Linked DNA regions of Caenorhabditis elegans. The protein of the gene in region 3 interacts with the protein of the main gene of each other region in a pairwise test. Each region holds a gene or a part of one and is shown on either strand. Other genes may lie near its edges.

Region 1 (4,743 bases), on a different chromosome or scaffold from region 3:
AATATGAGTACAATTCGGACAATTTTTGCGTATCAGTCGTAAAATTCGTAAATTTTCGATCATAAGTTGTTATTGAAATTGATCATAACTTAATGGAAAACATGAGAAAAAACCTGTTCGAAAATTAGTTTTGCATCAAATTAGGTGTCCGAAAATTAGTTTTGCATGCCTTACTAATAGAGGAAATACGGTAAAAGTTATGGCGGCTCAAAAAATGGCCGACATTTTTTTAAATTTTTTATCCAAATTTCGCCGTCCATCGACTTTATAATACCTAAATGAAGTTGAAAACGCAGGATAATTACATTGTATACTCAAAATTTGACGGTGAATTCAAAAAAGTTAATTTCCAGCCGCTTGACAAGTCGGTCAAATTTCAAAATTTAACTTATCTTAGGCCATTTTTTGAGCCGCCATAACTTTTACCGTATTTCCTCTATTAGTAAGGCATGCAAAACTAATTTTCGGACACCTAATTTGATGCAAAACTAATTTTCGAACAGGTTTTTTCTCATGTTTTCCATTAAGTTATGATCAATTTCAATAACAACTTATGATCGAAAATTTACGAATTTTACGACTGATACGCAAAAATTGTCCGAATTGTACTCATATTTTGTCAATTTTGACTTGTCATACCAAGTCTGTAAGAGTTTTCCTAATTTTTAGAACGATTTTATTATGCAAATTTTGAATTCCTAAACATAGGGAACAAATTGAGGGGGTGCAAAACTAATAGAGGAAATACGGTATTTGGAGAAGTTTTCAAGAAGTTTCATTATGAAATTCGATGTTTTCAGACAATTTTGAGTATATTAAAGAAATTTAAAAAAAAATTCAACTACACCACCTTTAAATACAAAAATACTGATTCTGTTGGGAAAATATTGTAAATTTCTTCAAAAAATTGATAATTTTCGCGTTTTTTCTGAATAAATTCCAAGCGTCAGAGTTTATTTAAAACATATTTACTACCCCTCCATTTTCACTTTTTCCTCTAAAATCTCGTTTTTTTAAAATCAAATTCCCGCCAAAATTTCCTCATTTTCAGAAAAAAAACCTCGAAAATAAGAAGAAGAAGCAACCATTCCATATGCATGCTCAATAATTGTTGTTTGCACAAAAATACTGGTGTCTTGTGTGAGTTTTTTTGGAAAATTCAGAAAATTTTCACTGAAAATTACAAAACCTGACAATTTTTGAATTTCGCGACGATTCAAGTATTTCACATGGTGTCAGAGTGTCACATTTCGGCTTGATCTACGTTGATCTACAAAAAATGCGGGAAAACGGGACGCTGACTTCTCATCTGATTTTGTATGGTTAAGACCGTCCTGACGTCACATTTTTTGGGCAAAAAATTGCCGCATTTTTTGTAGATCAAACCGTGATGGGACAGGCTGGCACCACGTGATATTTGCAAATTGTAAATTTTAATATATATTAAAATTAACAAATTTTTTGAAATTTGTTTGAAAATTCTGCTTGTACAGTCTTTTTTTGCAGTTTTCCAGTTGTGGAAATGTCAAAAAAAAATTAAATTGACAGAGATTTTTCAGTTAAAAAAATTTAAAAAAAAAAAACGAAAAAATTCACAAACAATTTTTCGACAAACCGGCAAATTGCCGAAAATGAAAATTTCCGGCAAACCGGCAATTTGCTGATTTGCCGAACGAACGAGGCAACCCCAGTAACATTTTCCTGAAATAATTTTTTTTCAGAATAAATAATGGGTTGCCTGTTTTCAAAAGAGCGGCGATCGGGAGGCAGTGATATGGGTGTTTCCGAACGGATAGATGTCTCCAGGTAACTATTTTATAGAGAAATGTATTATTTTTTTGGAGACAATCAACTTTTTTTTTAGATAAAAAGTGCAAAAATTAAATACAGATTTGAAAAAAAACCGATTTTCCGGTTTGGTTTAATTTTTGGTAAAAATTTGAAATTATTGATTTTTAGTTAAAAATTAGAAATCATTGATTTTTCGATAAAAAATCATAAATTATTGACTTTTCAATTAAAATAGGAAATTTAGCTATTCTAAATCTACATAAAGCATGATATTTTATGCATTTACATGGTGGTGAGCGGAAATCCCCCGTTTTGCCGGAACTTTTCAATTCCGAAAATTTGCCCGTTTCACATTTCGATAATTCGGCAGTGATCAACAGTTGTTAGATTTTCGGCATTTTCTCAGCAAGTAAGTGCCCGATCCCAACAAATTCCGGCAATTTGACATTACTGAGTTCCAAAGAATTTTGAAAAAAAAAACGAGATCCCTACTGTAGTAAATGTTTTTATTAGAAATTTTTTTTTCTGGAATTTTTTAATCGAGACTGAACTCTTTTACAATTTCGAGTGTATTTTTTTGGAAAAAATGTATAGAATTTAAAAATGTATCATTTTCTCTGTCCCGTCTTTTTTTATAGAAAGTTTGCTTTATTTTTAGGCTATTTTTAGGCCAATGTTGTTTTCTAAGCCTAAAAATGAAAATAGTATTAAGATGAACATGTGCATTAAAATTGAAATATTGAATGTTTAAAATTATTTAGTGCTCACTTTTTCCGAAAAAAAAAATATATAAATAGAATAATCTCAGAAGAAAAACTATGGCATCATTTTTGCCCAATTAGATGCCAACGATGTCTTTAAAAAATTATATATATATATATATATATATATCTTTTTTTTTAAAAACATTTAAAGACATCTATTTGGGCAAAAATGATGCCATAGTTTTTCTTCTGAGATTATTCTATTTATATATATTTTTTTTCGGAAAAAGTGAGCACTAAATAATTTTAAACATTCAATATTTCAATTTTAATGCACATGAGAATGTTCATATATGTACTTCCTTTTCTATAAAAAAAATTTGATTGTTTGCCCACCTAAAAATGCACTAACAACGCGTCAATTCGCGTATTATATTTTTTTTAAAGGTGGAGTAGCGCCAGTGGGGAAATTGCTTTTAAACATGCCTATGATACCACAATGACCGAATATCATGGTTAAAAAATTCAAAAAAAAATTTCTAAATTTTATATGATTTTTTGAAAATTGAAAAAATCTCAGTTTTGCCTAATTTTTTGTTTTGCCTAGATTTGTTCGGTGGAGCGCGCTTGCACGCTTTTATTTTTATTTATTGTTATTTTTTTATATTTTCCACCGATTTTCAATGTTTTCAGTGTATTTTTGTCTGAAATTTGAAGAAAAAGTCAAAATAAATGCAAATGTTCGATTAAAAAGCATTTAAACGACGATTTCGAAACCTGAATTAATTAATTTCAAAGATTTACGCTTGTGAAGTAGCTTTTTAATCAAAAATTAGCATTTATTTCGACTTTTTCTTCAAATTTCAGACAAAAATACACTGAAAACATGGAAAATCGGTGGAAAATATAAAAAAAAAAACAATGAATAAAAATAAAAAATGTGCAAGCGCGGCGCTCCACCGAACAAATCCAATTGGGGGTAATTCAAAATTCAAATAGGAATTATTAGGCAAAAATCTTTTTTTTACCATTTTTTAATTTTCAAAAAATCATATAAAATTTTTTTGAATTTTTTTATCATGGTATTCGGACATTGTGACCCCATCACTGCAACTTTTTCCTCACGAGAGACAAGGAAAAGTGGTTTCTAGGCCATGGCCGAGGGGCCGACAAGTTTCAGCGGCCATTTATCTTGCTTTGTTTTCCGCCTATTTTCTTTCGTTTTTCATCGATTTTTTTCGTTTTTTCTTAATAAAACTGATAAATAAATATTTTTTGCAGATGCTAAAACAATTTCCAAGTAAAAAAATCATGTATTCAGTGGGCAAGCAGCGGTGAAAGTAGTCGATGTAATATGATGGATTACGGGAATACAAAACCTAAACTTTTTCTGAAACATGATACATATGATGCTTAGATGCTTAAATTACCTGATTTTCATAACGAGACCGCTGAAAAAGTTTTGAGGTTTTCAAAATTCAATTGTTTTTGGTGAAAAAGTAGAGATTTTCGCACAAAATGTTGAATTTTAAAAATCTCTAAACTTTTTCAGCGGTCTCGTTATGAAAATCAGGTAGTCTCAGCATTTAAGCAGCATATGTATCATGTTTCAGAAAACGTTTAGGTTTTGTATTCCCGTAATCCATCATATTACATCGACCACTTTCACCGCTGCTTGCCCACTGAATACATGATTTTTTTTACTTGGAAATTGTTTTAGCATCTGCAAAAAATATTTATTTATCAGTTTTATTAAGAAAAAACGAAAAAAATCGATGAAAAACGAAAGAAAACAGGCGGAAAACAAAGCAAGATAAATGGCCGCTGAAACTTGTCGGCCCCTCGGCCATGGCCTAGAAACCACTTTTCCTCGTCCCTCGTGAGGAAAAAGTTGCAGTGGCTACTCCACCTTTAATTATTTTTCCATTTTTTTTCCGTACACTTCCCCCATTACCCAAAAAGATATCCACGCAGATTCCAAACGCCCCAACAACAGACAGTATTCCACGTGAATAACGGTGGAAACGAGGGAACCATCTCTCAACTAAACGGAACATCAGACGGAATGATGGGAAATGGACGTGGTGGTGGTGGTGGAGGAGGAGCACAGGAACGTGAGACTCTGGTCGCCCTCTATCCATACGATTCACGTGCCGACGGGGATCTTAGCTTTCAAAAAGGCGATGCTATGTACCTATTGGATCATTCGAATTGTGATTGGTGGTATGTTCGACACCAACGAACCGGA
Region 2 (7,784 bases), on a different chromosome or scaffold from region 3:
CTGTACAAAACCCATTTTATGGAAACATTCAGAATCCCCAATACTTTTTCTCTTTTCTCACATGACCTTATAGTTTATCTTCCGAATGCTGAATGTTTTTTCTTCAGTACAAATGTTTTGAATACCTAGGTAACCTCGAGTATGAGAAACAACATTAACAATGTTTTGGGAGAAACATGTAGTTTTGTACGTCCGGTCCAGTGAGAGTTTTCAACTTATTTTGGAAGAAATTTTTTTTTGACAAAATTTTGCAATTTCCCACGCAGAAATACGGTATGCCCCGTATCTCGCCACGAACATAATATTTTAAATTGACGGAAAGGTGTGCGCCTTTAAGAAGCACAGTAACCATTTTCCGGTTTTTTTTTTGAAATTGCCTTTGATTTTTACTTTTTTCTCCCAAAAACGAGAAATTTAATATAATCCATCAAAATCTTTGTGAACGAGAGAAATATAGTGAAAAACTCAAAGAAAATTGCGAAATGGATTACTGTACTCCATAAAGGCGCACATCTTTTCGAAAAATCGTGAAAAATTGCATCTGACCAACAGTTTTGCGTGGAATCTTCCTAGATTCAAATTTCCTATGAGTCATAAAACTATCATTTTATCGGACAATAACTACACGTGTACCTTGTTTCCATATGTTCTACCAATATAATTTGTGTTCATATGTGGCCAGGTACGGGAAATTAGAACACGGACTGATTTAGGAAGGTTCAAATTCGAGAACAATGGACGACTTGCTGCACGAAAACGTGGATTATTCTGAAACCGCCTATGTGATCACTATCGATTTAGCACTTCGGTTTTCTTTTTCCGTTTTCCTTTATATTCCGTATTGTATGCCGACAATAACGCTTTTTCTTTGTATAAACATTTCCAGAAGCAGAGCAAATTTGTTTATTCCAGAATTGACTGAATATTGAAATAATGTTTACAGACATACTGTAGATTTTTTTCTATTCAAACATGAATACAGTTTTTCGTATTTTTAATCTTCAGATAAGTTTTGTGTGTGTTTTTGAGAATAATATTTAAAAAAGATAAGCAAATATCAGAACTACGGTAAGCGAAGGGGTACGGTCGTCAATTGCGGACTTCCGAGCTGTGCACGGCGCCAAAATTTATTTTGAGTTTTAAAATGATTTTCTTTGTTTTTTTTTCTTTTTTTGACACGATAAGAACATTTTTCTGTATTTCTAATATTTTAAATGAGATCGTAATAAGTTTATTTAGCTCCATCACATTATTTTCGGAATATTCATCGCTTGAAAACGGCGTAAAATAGGTTCCAAGTAAATCATTGCAAACAAATCTCCGTTTATCGTTCTAACAAAGTTTTTCGTTCACTTTCTTATGTAAATCGTTTTCCCCACTTCTTCTTCACGGGAATGATCAATTGAAAGGCCATAAATTGGTTGTTTTCTCCACATTTCGCAACCAACATGCAGCTGTCGGATAGGCAATAAAATAATGTAATCAATGAGTTTTCCGATTTATCCTAACAGTTCTTTTTCTAGTGTTCCTATTCGAAAAAAGTACTGTTATCCTTCTTTTTGGACCGCCCATCTCAGGTGTCAAGACAATCGCAACACACTCAGAAAATGGGCGGAGTATGCCACCCGGCCTTCATTCGTCGCTCCTTGTCTTCTCCATTTTCGTTTTTTTCCTGTTCTCCGTTCTTTTTTTGTACTTTTGTGATAATGCTGAAGTGTTCTTTTTTTTCGCTTAACCGCATCTCTTGATTTAATTCATATTTTCTTTCAGATTCATGTACAATAACACCAAGAGCTGCTCTAACAACTAATAATAACAGAATCTCGAACAGCGAACACAACAATGCGAGTTCTTCTAATTTTACTCGCGTTTTTTGCGCCAATCGCCAGTCAACTTATGGGTGGAGAATGCGGAAGGGAAGGTGCTTGCTCCGTCAATGGAAAATGCTATAATGGAAAACTGATTGAGACATACTGGTGCCGGTAAGCATATATTTCATTCTCCCATGTCAATGTTATTCATCCGCTTTCTCATGAACCGTGACGAAAAGAACAAAAAAAAGAAAGTTTGGGCAGGTGGTGGTGGTGGGAAACAGGCGATAGATAAACAAAAGCTTGGTGTAGAGAACATTTTGAATAATATCCGAAAGTTGAATTATCACTGTCCATATTTCCCTCTAAGACATCATTAAACGCCACCCGGCTTGCAGAATGGGAACACAATGAACAGCAGGAGGCTGTCACAATGTAAAATCTCGTAAATCGTTCGGGAAATCTAAAAAATTGTTATTTAGTTTTCCCTTTTCTCTACAAACAATTCATTTTTCTTATCAATAACTTTGAGTTCCAAAGGCAAAATTTACAGCCGTTTACAGCCATCTTCCCAGGGTTGTCGGCGAATTTATATGGACGTTCATAAAACAATTGGATTAGCGTGTCGGTTCTTTAATCTTGTCTTTTCTTATTACTATCTAGCTCGTTTGATTAGTTATACAGAGAGTATCAACGTATTTATCGATAGGAAAATTGCGCCATGATGCTCTAAAATACATAAAATCGCTCGATTTATCTGAAAATAACACTTATTTCAGCTTAAAAATGTGAGAAAATGGTCCAAAATTGTCTGAAAGTTGTTGAGTGAATTATCGAGATTTGTTTTCTGATCACTTTCACGAATATATCAGCTGAAAAATTGTTATTTTCAAGTAAATCGATATATTTTGCCACGATTTTTGATTAAAAATACTGTAATTTATTGATTGTCACCCACCACTGGCCCACAGTCATAAATTGTCTCAATTGAATTACTTTTCAGTTTAAAAATAATTTAATCAAATTTACAGTTGCAAAAAAGGATTCGGAGGTGCTTTCTGTGAACGTGAATGCGATTTGGATTGTAAACGAGGCGAGAAGTGCATCTACGATGTTTATGGTGAAAATCCGACGTGTATCTGTCAAGGTAATTTTGTGAATCCTAAAATCTGTTAAATATCATAATATTTTGCCCGAAACGACCTATTTTCATAATGGGACTTCTCAAATCTTTAAATCAAATTATCGCCTTTTTGCATAGTTTGATAAATACTTTATCTCGATTCAAGTGTATTCTAATCAATCATTTTAAGATTTTAAACGTTTCAAATTCAAAATTTTGTTCCATGTTTTACTTCCACCTTTTTCTTCATCTGCCCTTTTTCATAGCGGCAATCTTTTTCACCACATCATCCATCATCACACTGCGAGTGTATTTTTCTTTGATTGTGCCCGACTTGTACGCAATTTTTTGTTTCAGGATATATCAAAATTTCGAAAACTTATTAGGGAAAACACGCGACCATACGTATAATAATTCTCCCGGGAGATCCCAACATTGACAAATTGTACCGCATTCGTGGTATCCTATTTTTCATTTCTACGCTCTCAAAATGACCGCTAGTGATAGATAGCTTCTACTAGGTCATATTCGCACATCTTCATCGCCTTTGTCATGCGATTTATTGCAAATGTTCGGTTTCATTGCGCGGGGGCAGTAGTATAAATCAAGCAGATGTTGTTACACAGACAGCCATGAGAAAATATTTATAAGTTTTATTATTCAGATTGCGAAGACGAGACTCCTCCAACAGAACGTACTCAAAAAGGCTGTGAAGAAGGCTATGGAGGTGAGTAAAGTTTGGATAATGTATGATTACTAATAGTCAATGACTTTGTATCACAATTATTGTTGTTTTGAGCAACAATTGACAGCTATTTTAATTTTTAAAAAGTTGCAAAATTGTTTTTTTTTCAATTTTATATTTTTCGAAAACACAAAGGACCAATGAAATTATCAGATTTTAAAAAATATAGTAAAAAATAAATTAAATATATTTAATTTAATTTAACATATTCTAATAAGAAATGCGCGAGATCCAAGTCTCCCACTGTGATAACTTTTTCCATCTGTTGTCGGAACCGATTTGATCTCAAATAAATCAAAATATTGCGTGTTCTTTTTCTCTATTTTACCGTAATGAGATTGACACCTTTCTCATCTCAAAGGAAATAATCGGCGGTTGGGGGTAATGAGGTGTGAATGGCTATTAGGAAAAACAAACTTCCGCCGGAATTTGAATTTAAATTCCACTTTTTTTAAAAAGAAGACAAAGGCCTATCCGTGATTAATACATTAATATTTTCAGGTCCTGACTGCAAAACTCCTCTATTTTCGGGAGTAAATCCATGCGATTCGGATCCTTGCAACAACGGACTCTGCTATCCATTCTATGGTGGATTTCAGTGCATATGCAACAATGGATATGGAGGATCGTATTGTGAAGAAGGAATCGATCATTGTGCTCAAAATGAATGCGCAGAAGGTTCAACGTGTGTCAATAGTGTATACAACTATTACTGTGATTGCCCAATTGGAAAATCCGGTCGATATTGTGAACGAACTGAATGTGCTTTGATGGGAAACATTTGCAATCATGGAAGATGTATTCCGAACAGAGATGAAGACAAGAACTTCAGATGTGTATGCGACTCGGGATACGAGGGAGAATTTTGCAATAAGGATAAAAACGAATGCCTCATCGAAGAAACGTGTGTTAACAACTCTACATGTTTCAATTTGCACGGTGATTTTACTTGTACCTGTAAACCTGGATACGCTGGAAAGTATTGCGAGGAGGCTATCGACATGTGCAAGGATTACGTTTGCCAAAATGATGGATACTGTGCCCATGACTCGAATCAGATGCCAATTTGTTATTGCGAACAAGGATTCACTGGACAACGATGTGAGATTGAGTGTCCTTCAGGATTCGGGGGAATTCATTGTGATCTTCCACTACAGAGACCACACTGCTCTCGGAGCAATGGAACGTGTTACAACGATGGAAGATGTATAAATGGTTTCTGTGTCTGTGAACCTGATTATATTGGAGATCGATGTGAGATTAATAGGAAAGATTTCAAGTTCCCAGATATTCAGTCATGCAAATACAATCCGTGTGTGAATAATGCGACTTGTATCGATCTCAAAAACAGTGGATATTCATGTCATTGTCCGCTTGGATTCTATGGATTGAACTGCGAGCAACATTTGTGTAAGTTCGAAAATTTTATTTTTATATACGACAAACGCGCCTTTAAAGAGTACTGTAGTTTCAAACGGTGAAATTTTCATCAATTTTTCAGCTTTTTAACATCAAATCTACATAGACTACACAGACTTAAATTTTGAAAAATCAATGGCAATCCCGGAGCAAGGAGAGTTTTTAAACTACAGTACTCTTTAGGAGCGCACATTTTTTCGCATTTAACAAAATTTTTGTCGTGGCGAGACCTGATACCGTATTTTTAGCTCAAGATTACTAGGCAGCATTCTTAATATCAACAAACTTCAGTGTGCACTCCAACTACATGTGCTAACGGAGGTACTTGTGAAGGTGTGAATGGCGTTATCAGATGTAACTGCCCCAACGGATTCTCTGGAGATTACTGCGAAATAAAGGATAGACAGTTATGCTCCAGACATCCATGCAAGAACGGAGGAGTTTGTAAGAATACTGGATATTGCGAATGCCAATATGGATACACTGGACCCACTTGTGAAGAAGTTCTAGTTATCGAGAAATCAAAAGAGACGTTAGTTTTCTTGGATACTATAAAGAATGCAGCCCAGAAAAATAATTTATTGAAGTAAAAAGCGGTTTCAATGAAATAAATACCTAATTTTAGCTCAAATCTCTAATTTTGCCAGCTTCGGTTTGTGTGACACGGGGAAGGTGTTAAATAAAATTTCTTTAGCTAAAATAAGGCTGTCTTTTTCCAAGATTTGAACTGCCATGATTTATTTGGAATTATTTTTTTGAGCCACTTGGAGTATAATGACGATGAAGATAAAATTCCTTCAAAATTTGTATTCAAGGTATTAAATGTGAACATTTCAGTGTCATTCGTGATCTATGCGAGCAACGAAAGTGTATGGATCTTGCTTCCAATGGTATTTGCAACCCGGAATGCAATTTGGAAGAATGTAATTTTGATGGAGGTGATTGCTCAGGAGGGCAAAGACCATTCTCCAAATGTCAATACCCTGCAAGATGTGCTGATCAATTCGCAAATGGAGTCTGTAATCAGGAATGCAATAATGAAGAATGTCTTTACGATGGATTGGACTGTCAATCAGAGTTATTTCGATGCCCAGCTCATATTCGGAAACATTGTATTGAAAGACGAGGCGATGGAGTTTGTAATTTAGAATGCAGTTTCATTGGATGTGGTTTTGACGGTGGAGATTGCAATAACGGAACAGAAGCAATAATCCTCAGTGATATTCGTATAAAAGTTCAAATTGATCCTATTGAATTCCAAGCTACCGGAGGAGAAACACTAATGCAAATCAGTGCAAATCTTCGAGCAACCGTACGTATTCAACGGGATGAACTTGGACCTCTTGTATTCAGATGGGATGGTGAACATGAAATGGAAAGAGTTGAGATGAATAGTAGCAAGCTCGAAGATCAATTTGTACTTTCGCATCACGTTCGCAGGTATCGGCAAGCTGTTGTCACTGGAATTGTCTTGTATTTGGAAGTCGAAGAAATATGTAAACCCGAGTTTTGCCGATTTTCAACAGCGCAAAGTGTCGTTGATTTGATTGCTGCTGGACTTGTGAAGTCTGATGTAAGTTATTTTTATGTGGAGTACGGCACCGGGCTGGAAACAAAATAATTTGGACCGAAATAACAAAAAAAATTAAATTTGTGAAAAATCCAAAAAGGTAGATTTCCGGTTCACTTTTCACTTTTTAGAAGAAAATCATCCGCGTTTTGCTAAAAATATTTGTAAAACATAAAAAAATGTTTGAAGTACAGAAAATTAGTTTTTGAATCCAAAACCAAAAAAACAATTTTTCGTCAAAATATCAAAAAGTCCCAGCACTGGTGGGGCTTAAAATCTATTTTTATGGTGATAAAATGACCAAATATAATTTTTAAAAATTAGAAAAATTTTATAGTATATTTCGAGCCAAAAAGCGGTGAACCTTTAATTGTTTGAGTTATGGAAAATAATAATTAAAACATTTTCAGGGTCGTATGTCTCTGGGTCTCCCAATTACGGAAGCAATGGTAGCTGTTCCAAAGAGAAACGAAATCGATGAAGGATGGTCTCGCAGTCAAGTTATTCTGTTTGCATGTATTGCATTTTTGGCTTTTGGAACTGTTGTCGCTGGTGTTATCGCAAAGAATGGTCCAGAAAGAAGTAGAAAAAGAAAAATGGTGAACGCAACAGTCTGGATGCCTCCGATGGAATCAACGAACGAGAAAGGTCGTCGGAATCAGTCAAATCATTCGAGTCAGTGCTCTCTTCTTGACAATTCTGCCTACTATCACCCCAATACCAAGAGACACTGTAGCGATTATAGTACCGGCTACAATGGAGAACAATATTCACAGATTTATCCACAAACTCTCGCAAATGGATATCCCGGTGATTACAACGAATTGAACTTTGACTTTCAATCTGAGACGTTCGCACCAGCTGATCTACCAGCCGACGAAATGTGAGTGAATCTTTATAGTTTTATTATAATTATTGTTATGTTTCTTTCAGCCCTCTCCATGTTCAAGCTGCAGGACCAGATGCGATTACAGCTCCAATCACAAATGAGTCAGTCAATCAAGTGGATTCAAAGTATAGACGACGAGTTCTGCACTGGCTTGCTGCCAATGTCAGAGGAAAACCGGAAGATGTCATTACAACAGAGGCAATTCGATGCTTGAAGGCTGGAGCCGA
Region 3 (4,866 bases):
TAGATTACAAGATAAGTAGCAACATTATACGGTCAAGTGCATCCTCCAGCCGGTGGTTCAGTTTCTCCATGTGTTTCTATAGTTATGTAAATACAAGATGGTATGCCCCTACTGCTACCCTCTTGACCGTCTTAGAATCTTTGTTGGTAGTTGTAATTTAAATTTATTTTTAAGAATCAAATATTTAAATTCTCAGTTGTTTAAAGTGTGCACATTGTGAATTTTCTCTTCTGTTATAAGTTAAGTAACCTCCGCATTAACAACAGACATGTACAACCATAAGTTGATAAGACCTCGCGTCTAATCTGACAACCAGACACCTAAAATTTTGAAATGGATTAGGCAACAGACACCTCTAAACAGAAAAACGTGACAGGGTAATCCTAGGGAAAAACTGCCTGTCTTCTGCCTACGCCTGGGAGGCACGTAGAAAGGTAGTGAAGACGTACCTACCTATTTCACAACTTCAATACTTTTGTTTTCCAAGTTCTTGTACTCAGCTAATCCTCAATATTCGGCGATAATTACTTGTAAACTATCAACAACTAACAAGTACCCTTGACACGCACACGGGTAACAATTGGAACTGACACATCCAATTCAGAAAACAACATGACACTGCCTGAATTGTCTACAAAAGGCAGATGTTCCCATGTCTCCTAATTCAGGTCTTCAAACCAGATACTTGGAGGGGCAACCAACTGGGCGAAGGGTATCAAATGCGCGAAAACCCCTGACTATGAGAGGGATCCTCTAAGAAAAGTGATTGATGACATGGTAACATGGCACCCAGGAAGACCATCTGTTCGGCACTTCCCTTCCAAAAATATACTGTTTCTTTCACCCTATAATTGACTTCTTGCTTTCCTTCTCATTTTCCTTGTTAATCTTGTTATGAGTAGTGTTTAGATCAAAACGCCCCGCGCGCGCATATCGGAAGAAGCTTTGTTTGATCTACCTACCATCTACCCATGACCGGATTAGATTAACACTGAGACGGCTCTAATCAGATTATAACTCAATGAACAAACTAAAGAGAACGAGCAGAAGGAGCGGAAATTGAGTATATTACTGTACATAACATTTACATTTACTAACTTAAGCTAGACCCCTAGCAACCCTTGGAAATTCAAAAGCAAAAATTCTAAATTCCTAAAACGAAAATCCAAGCTAACCCCAACAATGAGCCCCGTTGTCTCTCCTATTAATAAACATGTAACGATGCATAGGTAATTAGCAGTGACTGCTGCTGCTCAGCTTCTCCTCTGACAAACAGCCGGAGCTTCGTAGTAAAAGAAAGATGGATGAACATTGACAATAATTGCATATTGTCTATGACTCTATCTCTGTTTCTCTATTTCTCTCCAATATTTAGATGTTGCAATAATAATTGCAGACAGTCGGTTGCCATTGAATGAAATTATCGTCAGTGGAGATTTATTCGAAATCCACTTATTATAACACAAAAAACCACATATCATAATTTAAATACTTCAAAAATGTTCAGTTTTTTCAAAGTTTCAGTTAAAGTATGGGTGTATTGTTTCAAAAAATGTTAAAATTTAAAAAAATAAATTTTGAGCATAGTTTCGTACTACTAGAATGTTTAAATAGCAGGTTCGTACAACTAAAATGTTTAAATACAAACGATTAAAACGAAATTGGAAACTCGTAGAAAGTATTTTTGAACGCCTTCCAAAATTATAGTAATGAAAAATGAGTTTTTCCCACTTTTTGACTGTATGTAAAATAAAATCAAAAATTTATTTGAACATTTTAACACTATACATAGAAGCTTTTTTTACGGTACTGACGATACCTTCAAAAACGATATCAGAAAATTAAAAAAAAAAGGTTTATTTTTCGACGAATTTTCATGATTCCATTTGTCCCTTTCAAGTTGCTGCAACTATTCTCATGCCGTACAAAAATCTAACACCTAAGCAGCTGGCTTCCCCCATCGAGGTCAACAACCTCTTCTTCTCATTCTTCAGAACTTTTTTGCCGCACTCTCGTAAGTGGGACTATCCGAGAGCAGACGGCCCTCGCCGTTGTTAATGAGCATGACCTTTCTCAAATTTCCGTCATTGTTTATTCTCAAGTGTAAGACAGTGCCTACACGTTGGGAATGCAAAGGCAAAAAGCCGCCCGACAAAAAAGAAGCCGTGAAGATGATGATGAGGAGCATCCCAGCATAAGCATAGATGATGGTGCGCGGAAAGAGAGCGCTCGCGCATAAAGATTTATGAGTTTTGGGGATGGTGCGGAAAGACGAAAAAGAAAATGTTGTTTATGGTTTCATACGCCACAGTTTGGCAAGATTTACGGTTGTGCTCAAATGGGTCGAATGTCATAATAAGGCCGGGTGACGATTTTTCAATAAAACCAAACAAATTTTGATGGAAAATACTAACCTTTTCACATTTTGTATCAAATGGAGCATATTGAACAACACCACTTCCCAGGCATTCAGTTTTTCGAGTTCTTTCAAACATTCGCAATGTATCCGCTTCTTCTGCATTTAAATCTTCACAATATCTAACATCAGAATCCTGTGGTGGTAGTTGATAACGTGATTGACGTTGTCGCCATTTTTCTCCAGCTGATCCAATGAATGGTACCTTGTTTTCCGGGAGACAGGCGAAGTAGGCATGAACCTGTAAGAATTTGAATTTGAATTTGAATTTGAATCAGTATTTGAAGTGCACAAAAAACCATCTGTTTTGAACGGTCCACAGGTTGTGAACATTTTAATTGGTCTAGGTTTTGGTGTTCAAAAACCTAATTCAATTGTTCTTTATTGCACACGAGATCATTCAAAATCTCTATACTTACCATATTCGGCTTCAGACCACTAGGCACCCATGCATACTCGTCCAAAGCACATCCACTGTCATCATCAGATGTTGAATGCCTGTGAGCATCAGCTGCAATTCGGATTCTCGAAGCAGGCGATAGACCACCTTGAGCTCGACGTGATGAGATGAGCTGCGGTGCGAATTGCTCCGATGCTTCGAGACGACGACGGCGAATTCGTTCGCTCATCTGAAATAGGGACTATGAATTGAAAATAACACATTTTCATAAGAGAATGGCAAATTATACGATAAAGTTGAGGTTGACTTGGAAAAAAAGAAAAATAGTGTATGCAAAATCACTTCAAAAAAGCCTCCAAAAAAGGGTGTGTTAAGTGTTAAGTGTGAAAAGAAGACCAGTCCCTCTCTATAACCTTTTTGCTGCCATATAAAAATGTCAATCACTTTGGCAACACCATCACCATCATCCACAAAACTAGACCGGTCTCTCCATTGCCCCGTAAATCCCCACGACGACATCTGACCGTTTCATTTCTCATTTCACTGCAGAAAAGGACATCGTCTTCTTCGTAATGTTGATTCAATTAGAGAAAAAGATTCCGAAATCTTCAACTAGAAGACGACGTCCCGTTGAAGAATGAAAAATAGTAAAGAATCGGGAGACGTGTGTTTATGCTAATTTGATATGGCCTTGTAATAGAGGAATGACTGTTTGCCGTCGCGCACGCCGCCCCGTTTTGTCTCTGTCATTATACTGGTAATAACGGAAAAGTGACGGTAACTAATGGATTAATAGGAACATCTCAAAGGAAGAACTTTAAGATCTCAACGAATCTAAAGTTTTACTGTTGATTCCGACTTTGCGGTAGTGTGTTCGCAAAAAAGTAATAAAAGTAACAAAATTTACCATGATAGTTCCTGTGCATTTTAGAATGTGAAAATTACATACGCTTCATAATTTATATTTGAAGCATTATTCTATTATAGAGATTGTGGCAAGATCCATCAAGAGGAGTAGAAGACACCTTTAAAGTCTCACGTCATGTTTTCACAAACTCTCGGTACTTGAGGATATTTTTATAAACTATTTTCTAGGTCCTTTGGAAGTATTAGTGTTTTCACAAAATTTTATTACTGTTTCAAGGTGGCCATAAATTGCGAGGGTAATGTTTTTGAGTAATTACAACTGTTATTTGTTGTTAAGGAAAAAATTGCTGGCACAATCTTTTGAGAAAAATAAAATGAGAAAAACGAGCCATGAAAAAACTATTTCGAATATTCAAGTAACTCGAGCTTTTGTGAGAGCGGAGAAAAATTATTGTAAGAAAATATAAATGTGTGTTGGAAAAAATATAGGAAGGCGTAGAATGCCTAGTTTGAAAATTTCTGTAAAGATGAAAATGATTTCTGCTCAAGCTCTTGTAGCAGTTCTGAAATTGCCATCACTTCACGATTTCAATATTGAACGCAACAACACCCTGTACTACCAGAACACCAGAATGTGTATAGCGTACAAAAAATGACTCATTTTGCGGTAAGAATGAAATTGTGAAAATTGAAAACTTAAAACAAAAGTGAAACTAATGTGGAGGGCGTTGACCGGAACCGCATGGAATATCTCCCATCAGAACCCAAAAGCTACAAGGATCCTCCCACATCAACTAGAAGGGTGAGACGCAGACCGAGAAGCAGTATTTTGAGGGCGGGGTTAACAGTCTTACCGCATGTGTTTATGTACCCCTCATCTCGGCCAGGAAGGGTCTATATATGTGTGTGTGTCTATGGGTGACAGGTGTTATGATACATCGGTACTAAAGATGTTATCGGTTAGAGATTGGAAGTCCCTGGAGGGTATTGGAGTTGGTTTTAATCTAATAGAGGTGAATAGAGTTGCGGTAGATCAAAAGTTGAGGGCTCTTTTTCAAGTCTTAGATGTAATGATTAGATTACTATTTAATTATGAACTCTTATAAGATACTAAGATACTAATTATGAACTCTAATTTCCGCTCTCAAGCCTGCTCCAACAGAATTTCAACGCCTATTAAAAC

Evidence for each region. The genes of interacting proteins can lie anywhere in the genome.
Region 1: the proteins of prkl-1 (region 3) and src-1 interact in a two-hybrid assay, tested with the Caenorhabditis elegans proteins (2 studies listed by BioGRID).
Region 2: the proteins of prkl-1 (region 3) and glp-1 interact in a two-hybrid assay, tested with the Caenorhabditis elegans proteins (one study listed by BioGRID).

Annotation. Positions count from the first base shown.
Region 1 is NC_003279.8:1,565,880-1,570,622, forward strand, and holds the start of src-1 (Tyrosine protein-kinase src-1), read left to right. Parts: upstream 1-1,729; coding exon 1,730-1,806; intron 1,807-4,457; coding exon 4,458-4,743. UniProt on the Caenorhabditis elegans protein: Non-receptor tyrosine-protein kinase which plays a role in endoderm development by controlling spindle orientation in EMS blastomere, probably downstream of receptor mes-1.
Region 2 is NC_003281.10:9,090,471-9,098,254, forward strand, and holds the start of glp-1 (glp-1/Notch intracellular domain), read left to right. Parts: upstream 1-1,770; 5' UTR 1,771-1,842; coding exon 1,843-1,982; intron 1,983-2,842; coding exon 2,843-2,958; intron 2,959-3,598; coding exon 3,599-3,661; intron 3,662-4,180; coding exon 4,181-5,089; intron 5,090-5,389; coding exon 5,390-5,630; intron 5,631-5,935; coding exon 5,936-6,671; intron 6,672-7,078; coding exon 7,079-7,551; intron 7,552-7,601; coding exon 7,602-7,784. UniProt on the Caenorhabditis elegans protein: Essential signaling protein which has a major role in germline and embryonic development; involved in cell fate decisions that require cell-cell interactions. Probable membrane-bound receptor for putative ligands lag-2 and apx-1.
Region 3 is NC_003282.8:6,983,891-6,988,756, forward strand, and holds the start of prkl-1 (LIM zinc-binding domain-containing protein), read right to left. Parts: upstream 3,046-4,866; coding exon 2,836-3,045; intron 2,658-2,835; coding exon 2,415-2,657; intron 2,320-2,414; exon of another isoform or gene 1,886-2,319; intron 1,445-1,885; exon of another isoform or gene 1,293-1,444; intron 1,020-1,292; exon of another isoform or gene 866-1,019; intron 658-865; exon of another isoform or gene 307-657; intron 182-306; exon of another isoform or gene 1-181.